Ovis aries: one gene and its partners. The protein of the gene in region 3 purifies or fractionates together with the protein of the main gene of each other region. This does not show direct contact. Links are inferred from orthologs where the notes say so. Each region holds a gene or a part of one and is shown on either strand. Other genes may lie near its edges.

Evidence for each region.
Region 1: the proteins of PTP4A2 (region 3) and CNNM2 purify together in Homo sapiens (affinity purification with mass spectrometry; 4 studies listed by BioGRID and IntAct, counting the BioPlex papers as one, with this or other methods). This does not show direct contact. The link is inferred for Ovis aries from reciprocal best matches to the Homo sapiens genes PTP4A2 and CNNM2.
Region 2: the proteins of PTP4A2 (region 3) and CNNM4 purify together in Homo sapiens (affinity purification with mass spectrometry; 6 studies listed by BioGRID and IntAct, counting the BioPlex papers as one, with this or other methods). This does not show direct contact. The link is inferred for Ovis aries from reciprocal best matches to the Homo sapiens genes PTP4A2 and CNNM4.

Annotation. Positions count from the first base shown.
Region 1 is NC_056075.1:23,248,344-23,252,519, forward strand, and holds the start of CNNM2 (metal transporter CNNM2), read left to right. Parts: upstream 1-1,361; 5' UTR 1,362-1,491; coding exon 1,492-3,109; exon of another isoform or gene 3,110-3,205; intron 3,206-4,176.
Region 2 is NC_056056.1:103,760,512-103,764,751, reverse strand, and holds the start of CNNM4 (metal transporter CNNM4), read left to right. Parts: upstream 1-1,425; 5' UTR 1,426-1,521; coding exon 1,522-2,923; intron 2,924-4,240. UniProt on the Homo sapiens protein: Probable metal transporter. The interaction with the metal ion chaperone COX11 suggests that it may play a role in sensory neuron functions. May play a role in biomineralization and retinal function.
Region 3 is NC_056055.1:235,540,476-235,544,522, forward strand, and holds the start of PTP4A2 (protein tyrosine phosphatase type IVA 2), read left to right. Parts: upstream 1-1,197; 5' UTR 1,198-1,589; intron 1,590-2,597; exon of another isoform or gene 2,598-4,047.

The DNA.
Region 1 (4,176 bases), on a different chromosome or scaffold from region 3:
CCAGTGGCTTTTACTGTGATGAGTGGAAAGCCAGAGTAGGGTTTCAAACAAAGAAGGGACAGTGGCTTATTTAACAAAACTACTCTGGCTGGTGGGTTGAGAAGGGAAGGGGACAGGTGTAGAAGAGGATAGAACAGTGAGGAGGCCCTTGCAGTTATATCTTATTAGAAATTAATAAAAATTTTACAGAAAGGAAAATGTGCTTACAGCATAGAAAAAATGGAAATAATTTTTTGGATGTTTAAGTTCCAAGAAAAAAAACCAGTTTGGCTACTCTGTTTCCTCCAGATACAGAGGGGCTTGGGAGTCCTTGGTCTTCAGATTTTTTTTTCTCCTGAGCCACCAATGAACCTAGCAGGGTTTGGTCAGTGTGTTTAAGAATGAGCCTTTATGGATCTGCTTAGGATGTCCGCCCTGTCCCATTTCCCAGATTTGCCCAAGTGCCTACTAGGAATAGATTCTTGAGTCCTACCCATCCAGTAAGTATGGAATGGGGCCAGGGAATATATATTTTCAGTAAGAAATTGAAGGGATTCTTATAACTTGGAAGATGAGGAACTGCCCCACCTCCTGAACACCTTTTTGGGTTTGCAGCATACCTGGAAAGCATTGCAGGGAGCCCGTGCTACCGGCAGGTGGCGCTACCTGACCGTGAGCTGCAGAGGGCATCTGTCCCTTAAGGATAAGCTAGCAGCTCCAGCGGAGCGCGTAGGTGTGGTGTTGGGGCCCACCAGCCACCGCTCATCCCGAGCGGAGAGGAGTGCTGGAGTAAAGAAGCGGGGCGCAGCAGGTACCTCGGCTTCATTTTAGGCTAATGTGCACCTTGAGTCAGGAAGGTGTAGCCCTCTCTGCACGGGCACTGAGCACGCGGGAGCCGGCAGCGTGGCCCGGCGAGAGCCGGCAGCCTCGGGCCACAGAACATCAGTCCTGCGGGCCACCCTAGGGACAGGAGTACTACCGAGGCCCCTCCGAGCCGTCAGACTCGCAGAAGGCCCCTATGCATTGGCAGCCGGGACGGCGGGCTCCGCCCCTTTTCGTACGGCTGTCATCTGTGACTGGCTCTTGGGCCCGGGCTGGCCACACCTCCTCCCCTCGCACATACACAAGAGTCACGCGCCTTTCAGTTGGAAACTTAGAGTGCAGAGGAGGACGCTGTCTCTCGTCTCCCCACCCACTTATCTTGCCATTGGCTCGCGGCGCCGCTCACGGCCACGCCCCCATTCCAGCCCCAAGGCTGGGAAGGCGGGCACCTGCTGGTGATTGGCTGGTCGGCCTGCCTCTCGCAGGAGCCGCTGGCACTCCCCCCACCCTCTCCCCCCTCCCGCTAGCCTCGAGGTCTCGGTGCTGGCCCAGGCCGAGTCAGTGTCAGTCAGGGAGGCGGATTGCTGAGCAGTGGGTTCGAACACTGCATTGCAATCTCGCCCCAGGGCCGATGCCTGCGCTCGCGCCGCCGGCTGAGAAGGATGAAGCCGCAGCTGGAGCAGCCACCCTATGATTGGCTGTGGCGCTTGTGAACCCGAAGTAAAGATGGCGGGCGGGCAGGCAGCCGCCGCACTGCCCTCTTGGAAGATGGCGGCGCGCCGCAGCCTCAGCGCCCGCGGCCGGGGGCTCCTGCAGGCGGCGGGGCGGCTGCTGCCGTTGCTACTGCTGAGCTGCTGCTGCGGCGCGGGCGGCTGCACGGCGGTGGGCGAGAACGAAGAGACGGTGATCATCGGGTTGCGGCTGGAGGACACAAACGACGTGTCGTTCATGGAAGGGGGGGCGCTGCGGGTGAGCGAACGGACCCGGGTCAAGCTGCGGGTGTACGGGCAGAACATCAACAACGAGACATGGTCCCGCATTGCATTCACAGAGCACGAGCGGCGGCGCCACAGCCCCGGCGAGCGCGGGCTGGGGGGCCCCGCGCCGCCGGAGCCGGACAGCGGCCCCCAGCGCTGCGGCATCCGCACATCAGATATCATCATCTTGCCCCATATCATTCTCAACCGCCGTACATCGGGCATCATTGAGATAGAGATCAAACCGCTGCGCAAGATGGAGAAGAGCAAGTCCTATTACCTGTGCACGTCGCTCTCCACGCCAGCCCTAGGCGCCGGCGGCTCGGGGTCCGCGGGTAGCGCCGTCGGGGGCAAGGGCGGCTCCGGGGTGGCCGGGCTCCCGCCGCCACCGTGGGCCGAGACCACCTGGATTTATCACGATGGCGAGGATACCAAGATGATCGTGGGGGAGGAAAAGAAGTTCCTGCTGCCCTTCTGGCTGCAGGTGATCTTCATTTCGCTGCTCCTGTGCCTGTCGGGCATGTTCAGCGGCCTCAACCTTGGACTCATGGCCCTAGACCCGATGGAGCTGCGCATTGTGCAGAACTGCGGCACCGAGAAGGAGAAGAATTACGCCAAGCGCATCGAGCCCGTGCGCAGGCAGGGCAACTACCTGCTGTGCTCGCTGCTGCTGGGCAACGTGCTGGTCAACACCACGCTCACCATCCTGCTCGACGACATCGCTGGCTCAGGCCTGGTGGCGGTGGTGGTCTCCACCATCGGCATCGTCATCTTCGGGGAGATCGTGCCCCAGGCCATCTGCTCCCGGCACGGCCTGGCTGTGGGAGCCAACACAATCTTTCTCACCAAGTTTTTCATGATGATGACCTTTCCCGCTTCTTACCCGGTCAGCAAGCTGCTGGACTGCGTTCTGGGCCAGGAGATAGGCACCGTCTATAACCGGGAAAAGCTGCTGGAGATGCTCCGGGTCACAGACCCCTACAATGACCTCGTAAAGGAGGAGCTGAATATCATCCAAGGGGCGCTGGAGCTCCGCACCAAGACGGTGGAGGACGTGATGACTCCCCTCCGGGACTGTTTCATGATCACCGGCGAAGCCATTCTGGACTTCAACACCATGTCGGAGATCATGGAGAGCGGCTACACTCGCATTCCAGTATTTGAGGGGGAACGCTCCAACATCGTGGACCTCCTCTTCGTCAAAGACTTGGCCTTCGTGGATCCAGATGACTGTACTCCCCTGAAAACCATCACGAAATTTTATAACCACCCCTTGCACTTTGTTTTCAATGACACCAAGTTGGACGCTATGCTGGAAGAATTTAAGAAAGGTGGGAAAATTTTGGTATCCTTTCATTGGCTTGCTCTTTCTCACTCCATCCTCCTCCCTACTTGAGTCCTCTACCCTCAGACCAACCCCCCAAGGCGAGTTGACCGGAATTTCTCCTCTCTTTTAATTGTAAAGTTGAAAGGGTGGCATGGATTTGAGGGTGGATTGAACTAGTAAGCGCTTCTAGGTTCTTTAAAACCACAAGACTGCCCTGGCTTGCTTCCTTCCCTATCAAAGCAGGCTTCCTATTTTCTGGTACTTCCTATTTTCATGGTACTCTTACCCCCTGCACTCTGGCCTTGAGAAATCTGCTGCATTCATTGCGGGATTCTGAGTGGGTAGATGAAAAAAGGGACCCGTTGATGCCATGCTGTGCCATTTGGTTGCTATGTACTAAACTCAGGCATTTGGAGAACGTTTAAATGGCTTTTCTAAACCCAGAGCAATCAGTTGATATTTCCGAGATTGGAAGTGCATTTTCAGTTGCTTCAGTTCCTGGTTGTCTGGTGACCTGTGGGAGAGATTAGGGCCTGCTTTTGAGAATAGGGTATGGGATAAGCCAGGTATCACTAAAGAAAATCACTCATTTAGTTGACTTGCCTTCGCTGGAAAAGAGATGTTTTGTTGTTGTTGTTGTTGTTGTTTAAACTAAAGCTATTTGTTAATATATAACTCGGAAAGACTAGAGATAAGTTAACCTTTTATGAGGCTCTATATTGCTTAGCTTTCTTCACTGTTTGTTTACATTTACCTAACAACAAATAAAATTTCCCAAACCAAGTGTGGTTTTGGCAGAAAGTTTGGATCTTAACAATGGGATTAATTCCTCTATGGTTTGTCAATTTCTTGAGACTTTCTGGTTTAAAAGTGTTCTTTTTAACCTTGATCACCTGGTATGTTAAATGGAAATATGTCTGCGAGTCATTGTTCACTGTTCCAGGGAGCTTTACCAGGAAAGAGAAGTACAGAGGGTGGTGTGCTCACCTTTCTTGCATAGTGGTGTTTTCTGTTTGTTTTACCGTGTAACGAACCAGCAACTCATACTGTTATCACTGAAATTCTGACTTT
Region 2 (4,240 bases), on a different chromosome or scaffold from region 3:
TCTAGGGTTAGGAGTTTGGTCCCGGAAGGGCAGACAATAACAATAACAACAACAACAACAATAACAATAACAGCCGCATAGTCAGAGAGCATTCAGAGAGTCGTCCTGTCCTGTCCCATGCCTAGGGCAGCTGTTCCCACAAGGTTAGTGACGTGGTGCTCTGTTAGCATTTCTTGCTTTTTATTTATTGATTTGGCTACGTCAGTTCTTAGTTGTGGCTTGTGCACTCTTCCTTGCAGTTGCTTTGCGGGCTTAGGTGCCCTGTGGCATGTGAGATCTTAGTCCCTGGACCTGAGATCGAACCCACATTCCCTGCATTGGAAGGTGGACTCTTAACCAATTGGACCACCAGAGAAGTCCCTGTGTTATCATTCTTACCCCCATTTTACAGAAGAAGCAGCTGGGGCTTAGAGACATTCCAACTTGTCTTACTGAAGTCACACAAGCCTGCTCTTAAGATAACAGTCTAGATGGGCCCTGCTTTGTGCCTAGACACAATTTCTTCATCTGTAATATGGAAATATCTTACGGTTGTTTGGGAGGATTAAAAAATATTCTGTATTAGAAATGTTTTTAGCTGAATTGGGTCTTCATTGCGGCACAGGGGCTTCTCTAGCAGGCAAATTCTTAACCACTGGACTAACAGGGAAGTCCTTGCATGTGTTTGTTGGTTGCCTGTTTCCTATCCTAGACTGCCAGCTCCAGGGGGCAGGATCTTTGGCTCATCCACTGCTATATTGTTTGAGCCTGGAACAAGTGCCCAGCACCGGAGCGCTCAGTCTTTGTGTCCTAAAGGGAAATGAAAGACCATGCTCCTTCCATCTGCATTCCCTGCATCTGGTCCCCCAGACTTCCCCTCCACTGGCCCCAGAGATCTCTGGCCTGGTCCTGGGGGATCAACTTCTGGCCTCTGGGCAAGGTGGGCAAAAGCCCCAGGAGTGCAGAGGTCAGAACAATGTCTGTGGACGTGAAGACCTCCCTCAGGCCTCTGCTCTCGGGTTCTCCTTTTCTTTTCTTAAAGCAGGAAAAGCAGTTTTCTGGCCCCGAGCACCACGTGGTGCTGCTTCGGAGGTTCTTACAGAGAAGAGTCACCGCCTCCGTTGCAGCTTTTTGGGGAAGAGGAACGAGCCCAGCAAGCGAGGCCAGGCTAGGCTGCGGAAGCGGACAGTGCGATAGGCAGAGCAAAGCGGCGCGGAGGAGAGCAGGACCCGCCAAGAGGGCGGAAAAGCTTGCGATGAGGAGGGCGGGGCGGAGAGCCTCCCGCTGCTCCCACGCTCTCACGCCACGCCACCTTAAATGCCGGACTTCCTTAAGGGAGGGCGCGAGCCGCGCGCCAGGGGCGGAGCCTCCCATGCAAATGAGAGGCGTGGGTCGCGGGGCGGGGCAGATGGGGCGCTGACCTGACGTCAGGCCCGCGGCCGGGACAGTTGGCTCAGCGGCGGCGGAGCGGCAGGAGCGGCGGCGCGAGCGGGGCTGCGCGGCGGGCGCGGGGAGCGGCGGCGGCTGCCGAGCCGGAGCAACATGGCGCCGGTGGGCGGGGGCGGGCGCCCCGGCAGTGGGCCGGCCCGAGGGCGCCTCCTCCTGGCGGCGCTGGTGCTGCTGGTGCCGCTGTGGGCGCCGGGGGTCCGTGGCCAGGGCGACCCCCAGCGGAGCGCGATCCTGGGCATGAGGCTGACGAACTGCAACAAATCGTGTGGGATAAACACGGATGGCATCATCTACGTGTCCGAGGGCAGCACGGTGAACCTGAGGCTGTACGGCCAGGGGCTGGACTCCTTCTCTAGCAACCTGATCTCCTTCACTGAGGTGGACAACGCTGAGACCTTCCACAACTCCACTGACTGCCTCGAGCTCACCAAGGACCTGGTCGTCCAGAAGCTGGTCAACGTGAGCCGCGGGGACACGTCGGGGATGCTGGTGGTGCTCACTAAGTTCCTCCGGAGGAGTGAGAACATGAAACTGTATGCGCTGTGCACCCGGGCGGGCGTGGACGGGCCCTGGCAGAGGTGGACGGACAAGGATTCGCTGCTCCTCATGGTGGAGGAGCCTGGGAGGCTCCTGCCCCTCTGGCTGCACATCCTCATCATTATGGTGCTGCTGGGGCTGTCGGGCATATTTTCCGGCCTCAATCTGGGGCTGATGGCCCTGGACCCCATGGAGCTGCGCATTGTGCAGAACTGTGGCACTCAGAAGGAGCGGCGCTATGCCCGCAAGATCGAGCCCATCCGTCGCAAGGGCAACTACTTGCTCTGCTCCCTGCTGCTGGGGAACGTGCTGGTCAACACCTCCCTCACCATCCTTCTAGACAACCTCATCGGGTCCGGCATCGTGGCTGTGGCCTCCTCCACCATTGGCATTGTCATCTTCGGGGAGATCGTGCCTCAGGCCCTGTGCTCCCGACACGGGCTGGCCGTGGGTGCCAACACGATCATCCTCACCAAATTCTTTATGCTGATCACCTTCCCGCTCAGTTACCCCATCAGCAAGCTCCTGGACTTCGTCCTGGGTCAGGAGATCCGCACCGTTTACAATCGGGAGAAGCTGATGGAGATGTTGAAGGTGACCGAGCCCTACAACGACCTCGTGAAAGAGGAGCTGAACATGATCCAGGGGGCCTTGGAACTGCGGACCAAGACCGTGGAGGATATCATGACCCAGCTGCAGGACTGCTTCATGATCCGCAGCGATGCCATCCTGGACTTCAACACCATGTCAGAGATCATGGAAAGCGGCTACACCCGCATCCCTGTGTTTGAAGACGAGCAGTCCAACATCGTCGATATCCTCTACGTCAAGGACTTGGCCTTCGTGGATCCCGATGACTGCACCCCGCTCAAGACCATCACCCGTTTCTACAACCACCCAGTGCACTTCGTCTTCCACGACACCAAGCTGGATGCCATGCTGGAGGAGTTCAAGAAGGGTGAGGCCCCAGGATGCGGCTCCCGCATCCCTCTATGCGGTACCTCGAGTATCCTGACCTGTCTTGTGTCTGCTGATCTTAGCGTTCCGTTCGTGTGACTCTGTCCAAGTGCCCAGCACTCCCCATGCCTCGGCAGAGATGGGCACTCAGGCCAGCAGAAATAGCTCTTAAGCATCTGCCAGGAAGTGTGCTTTGTGCCCCAGGTGGATCCAAGCAGGGCAAGACATACTTGCCTGTGTGGGAGCAGGATGGAGTGAGGCTAATGTCTACAAGGAGGCCAGCACCTGGGCAGGGAGATTAGGGCGTGGTACTGGAGCCAGCAGGTCCTATTGGGGTCGGGTGGGGAAGGGGCTGGGGAACCCGGAAAACCTTCACAGCGGAGGGAACATTTGGGGAAATCCTTGAAAGCTGGGGAGACTTGGTCCTTGAGGCAGAGGGAACCCCTTGAGCAGAGAAGCTGAGTTGGGGAGCAGACGATGTGCTTCTGGTTCAGCAAGTGGTTCCCTTCCTGTGGGTACAGGCTCTGCTGATCAGTGGTCAGTAGGGGAGAGACCGAGTCACCCATTGCCTTGGGAAGAACCTGAAAGTCAGGGCAGTCAGTCTGCTGGGCTCTCGGAGCTCTGGAAGTTTTTGGAGCCAAGCGAGAATGGTGTCACTGGAGCGCCTGGCCCACGGAAGCCAAGTTGGGAGGGCACTCACTGGCTCCCTGCCGAGAGCAATGCCAAGTAATGCTTTTGACTGTTCAGCAGAAGCGAGCAGATTAAGCTTTGGTTATTCTATCTTTCCCAGGCGCCCCACATAAGCTTCCCTCCTGTGGTCTGCTGGGTATCTTCAGTCGGCCTGGTGGTTTTTTTTCTCACACGTGCTCTTGGTTGTTAGACACTTGGAGGGTTTACTCGGCAGCCTCAGCGCTCAGAGCACACACCCCTTTCCTTACTTCTAGCAAAACTTTCCTCCTGCCTCTGCCACTCCGAGTGACAGTAAACAAGCCAATTATGGAGCAAAACCCTCCTCGGCCAAAGGCGGAGAGGAGACCAAAAGGGGAGCTCTTTATAAAGGAATGAGGGAGGTCACCTAAACCCCAGAGCTCTGTTTCACTCCCCAAGACCGCAGCCCGTTGTTGCTCGGTTCTGGAGAGCCTCAACTGGCTGGATCAGTGGGTGACAGAGTAGGATAGGGAGGAGCTGGCCTGGCAGGATGCTGGGGTTAGAGCCAGGGTGGGGACTGGGTACCTTCCCTTTTTCAGTTTGACAGACTGAATCTCAGCATCGGAGCTGAGGAGAGAACTCCAGTTACATAAGCTTGAGTGGGAGACAG
Region 3 (4,047 bases):
ATGCTAGGAAAGACTGAAGACAAAAGGAGACGGGGACCACAGAGGATGAGATAGTTGGGAGGGCATCACTGACTCAATGGACATGAGTTTGAGCAAACTCATGGGAGATGGTGAAGGACAGGGAAGCCTGGCGTATTGCATTTCATGGGATTGCAAAGAGTAGGCCACTACTTAGCATCCGAATGACAATTCTGAGATGAGGCTTCCCAGGGTGAAGGAGGAGGACAGAGCCCCTTGCCCCTTTTCTCCAGCTCTCAAGGGTAAGCCTCCAGTGCTTCTTTCCTGCTGCCATCTGGCAATGACCCAGACCAATCTCCCAAGTCACTGGTGACCACATCTTCCAAACCAAAACTCCTAATTCATGGTCCGACAAAGAATTTCTGCCCACCTTCTAAACGCAAGAGAGAATACTGAGAGCTCTAGAATAATCCCTGTCTTTAAATTCAGGGTCTCCTCTTTATCACGCATTTTTCATACATAATGAAAAGAGCCCCAGGGGGTAGCTGATAATCATTTTCATTTAATAGTTGAAAATACGAAGATAGGAAATAACTTGCCCAAGATGCTATCTCCCGGAAGTTTGAATTTTGATCTCCTACTCGGATTCCTAGGTTTGCGCGCGCGCGTGTCTGTGTCGCGGGCGGGGAGTGAGGGTAGTAGCACGCAGAAATATCCTGAGCAATTGCAGACGCACACGCCATTTATTTGGGGCCTCAAGAAAGGGCAGCCAAGAACTAAGCTGCCCCGGTTCTCACTTCTGGGTTGGAAATCCCCGAGCAAAGGGCTCGGTCTCCGCCTCGTCCCATCAGGGTCTGGCCTCAGGCCTCACGGCCCGGTCACGGGAAAACACCCTTCGACCTTGAGGGTCACCCTGCGGCCTCCGGCCCTTGCTCAGCCCAGGTGCGGATGGGCGGGCCACGGCGTGGGCGAATGACTCCCCCGGTCAGGTTCTGCCCACCGCCCCCCCGTTCCCTGTCACATGGACGCGCCTTCCGCAGCCAGAAGTGCTGATCGGAACGAACCACGAGGAGGAGCGGGGGAGGTGCCCAGGGCAGTGGGTCAGCGCCCCGCGGGGCAGGTGGGCGGGCCCCACCGCCTCGAGCCGGCCCGCCAGCCAGTCAGCGGGCGCGGAGGGCGGGCCGGCGGGCGCGCGCGCGCGCGCCGCGCCCCGCAGCGCCCCCTGAGGGGCGGCGGCGGGAGCTGGTTCCGGCTGCGCGCGCAGCGGTGGTGGTGGCGGCGGCGCGATCGGCCGGGGCTGTAACCGTCGTCCGTCCGGTAGCGGCTGGAGCGGCAGCGGCGGCCGGTCACGGGGCGAGGCGAGGCCACAGGGCAGTGGCGGCAGCGGGGACAGCGGCAGCAGCCGGAGACGCAGCGGCGGCCGTAGCAGCAGCAGCAGCAGCAAGACGGACTCGTGGACACGCGCCGCCGCCGCCGCCGGGCCGGGCCGGGTGTCGCGCGCCGAGGCTGGGGGGGAGTCGTCGCCGCCACCGCTACCGCCGCCGCCGCCGCCGCCGAGGTGACTGAGGAGAGAGGCGCCTCCTCGCTCCCGCCGCCGCCAGACTTCAATGCCCAGTCCCCAGCTCGCCAGCGTGAGTTGCGCGGCTCCCGGGCGGCCCCCCGCGCCGCCTCCCGGGGGCCTCGGGGCAGGGGAGGGCGGGAGGCGCCGCAGCCATTAGTGCAGGCCCGAGACACGTCCCCGGAAGAAGGGCCGGGCTGGGGCCGGGGGCGGGGGGAGCGCGGCCGGGAAGCGTGGAGAGCGAGGGTGGGTGAGGAGGGGGGGATCGCGCGTGTGGGAGGGGAGAGGAGCGAGTGCTGTGTGCAAGAATGTGGAGTGTGGGGCGGGGGGGGGAATGTGCGTGTGTGAAGGCGAGAGTGTGAGTTGGGGAACAGGGCTGTGTGCATGTGGGGAGAGCGTGGCGAGGGAGAAAGTGCAGATGGGGGAGTTGGGGGGCTGTGTGTGTGTGTGTGTGTGCGCGCGCGCGCTCGCTTGCAGAGGAGAGTGAGGGGAAGTGTGAGTAGGGGGCGGTAGGGGGTACAGTGTCAGGAGGGTGGGAGGTGAGTGTAGGGGAGAGGGAGCGGGGAGCATGTGGGAACGAGTGAGTGGGGGGAGAATGCTTGTGCGTGGGAGAGTGGGGTAAATGGGGAGCGTGAGTAAGTGGGGGAGGGAGAGTTTGCGTGCTAGGGGTAGAGTGATGGGCGGGAGAACGTGAGAGCAGAGTGAGACAGAGCTCGGGGAGAAGGTGAAGGGCAGGCGGATGAGGGAGCGTGGAAGTGTCTGCCTGCGATTGTCCAGTCTGTGAGCAGGCATCCTTGGGGGCCATCCTTGATCGTTTTCTAGGGCCGTAGCGAGCCTGGGTGTCCTGGGTTAGGGAGTTCTTTCCAGGAGCATCTTGTGCTTGGGTCCTTGGGTTCAAGTATGAGCAAAGGGTACAGAAGTCTATGCCAGTGGCAATATCATTTTCTGGCCCTGTGCCTCCTCCTCCCCCCCCCCCAATATTTCAGAACATGGACATCAATTTCCAAATTTGTCGAGCACATGATTGGTTGGCATCCCACCCTAGTCTGGGTTCTGAAAGCTAGCTAAAACAAGTTTGTGTATTGCCTGGGATCCTAGACTCTTGCCTTTTGAGTGTTCAGATAGACTGTTGTAAAGTACTGCTAGTTTTTCAGGTGAGAGGTGTTTTATTGTTAGGTAAATATATAAGAAATGTGTTTTAGGTTTTACCTCCTTGCTACCCTTCTGGAGAGAAGCTTTTAAGAAATAATAGTAATAATTGTGTAGCATGTTGATGATGAAGCTCAATCATAGCATAGTTTATTATTTTCTAGAATTTTTCAAGAAATGTGTAAAATAGCAGTTGTAGCATCATTGTATGCATTCAGCAAATGCTTTTCTGTGTGGAGTCACCAAGTTGTAGCTACTGCTGGATTAAATGTGGTAGTTACTGGCTCCATTGCTCTGTGTTACAGAGTCTTTCAGACAGGAAGTCAGTGAAGTTATGCCTTAGTCCACATGCAAAAGGAAATTAAGGCTTCATCATCACTTGCCAGCGTAATCATTGTGTTGGTGAAGATGGTGAAAAGTTGCTTGCTGGTATTCATTTTAAAAGTAGTCTCATGTTGTATGGTGAATGGACTAATCATTGCCATGGACTTTTCCAGATTCTTGTGTTGTAGAAGGAAGTAGGGGTTCTTGATGAAGAGTGCCTTGATACGGATTTTATACTGAAATGATGAAAAGTCTCTTAGAAGTTGGAAGTGTAGTGTGGTCCTTTTGGTATTCAATGTGATAGAACTACAAGCAAAAGCATTTGTATATAATTAGAAGTCAGAAATTATAAATTTCTTACTGTGTCCTTTTCTTGATCATTAGCATGCTCTCTACTTTGAGAAACAGTGAGTAGTATTGTTATCATTTGGTGGGTGACTGGATTAATTAGTATTAAGTGCCTACTGTGTACCAGGTGCTTTTTATACTCTTGTTCAGTTCTCACAGCTACTATTAAAAGGTGGTAGGTGTTCTCATTTGCATTCATTTGACACATATGGTTTCTATTTGCCAGACTTTAGGGATACAGTGATGAGCCCTCATTGACTTCAGTGATGAAATGAGACAGTATGGAGACTCAAAGAGGTTAATTAACTTGTCCCAGGTCAGAACTTATAATAAGAATGGGAGCTAGATTAAAAACCCAGGTCAGTCTGACTCCATAGTCTTTGATTTTTTCCACTATACCATTAACTTCCCTCACGCTAGGTTGTCTCTCTTTGAAGTTTCTCATCCACACAGTGACCTAGCAGCTTGTGCAGGTAAGAGGTGTTGAGGTTAATGCAAAAGACTGAAGGCTGGAGGCGAGTAGATCTTTAAGGAGATGCTGACTTGAGGCTCTTTGGGGCCTAAGTTAGGATAGGCTTTTATGTGGGTGGAGATTCTGCCTTGGAACTCACTTGGGGCCTTAGGGTGTGTGCTTTGAGACAGAGTTTTTATGAGGCACCTGGGATATGTCTGGGAGAGAAAAGTCTGATTAAAGAAACCCAATAGACTGT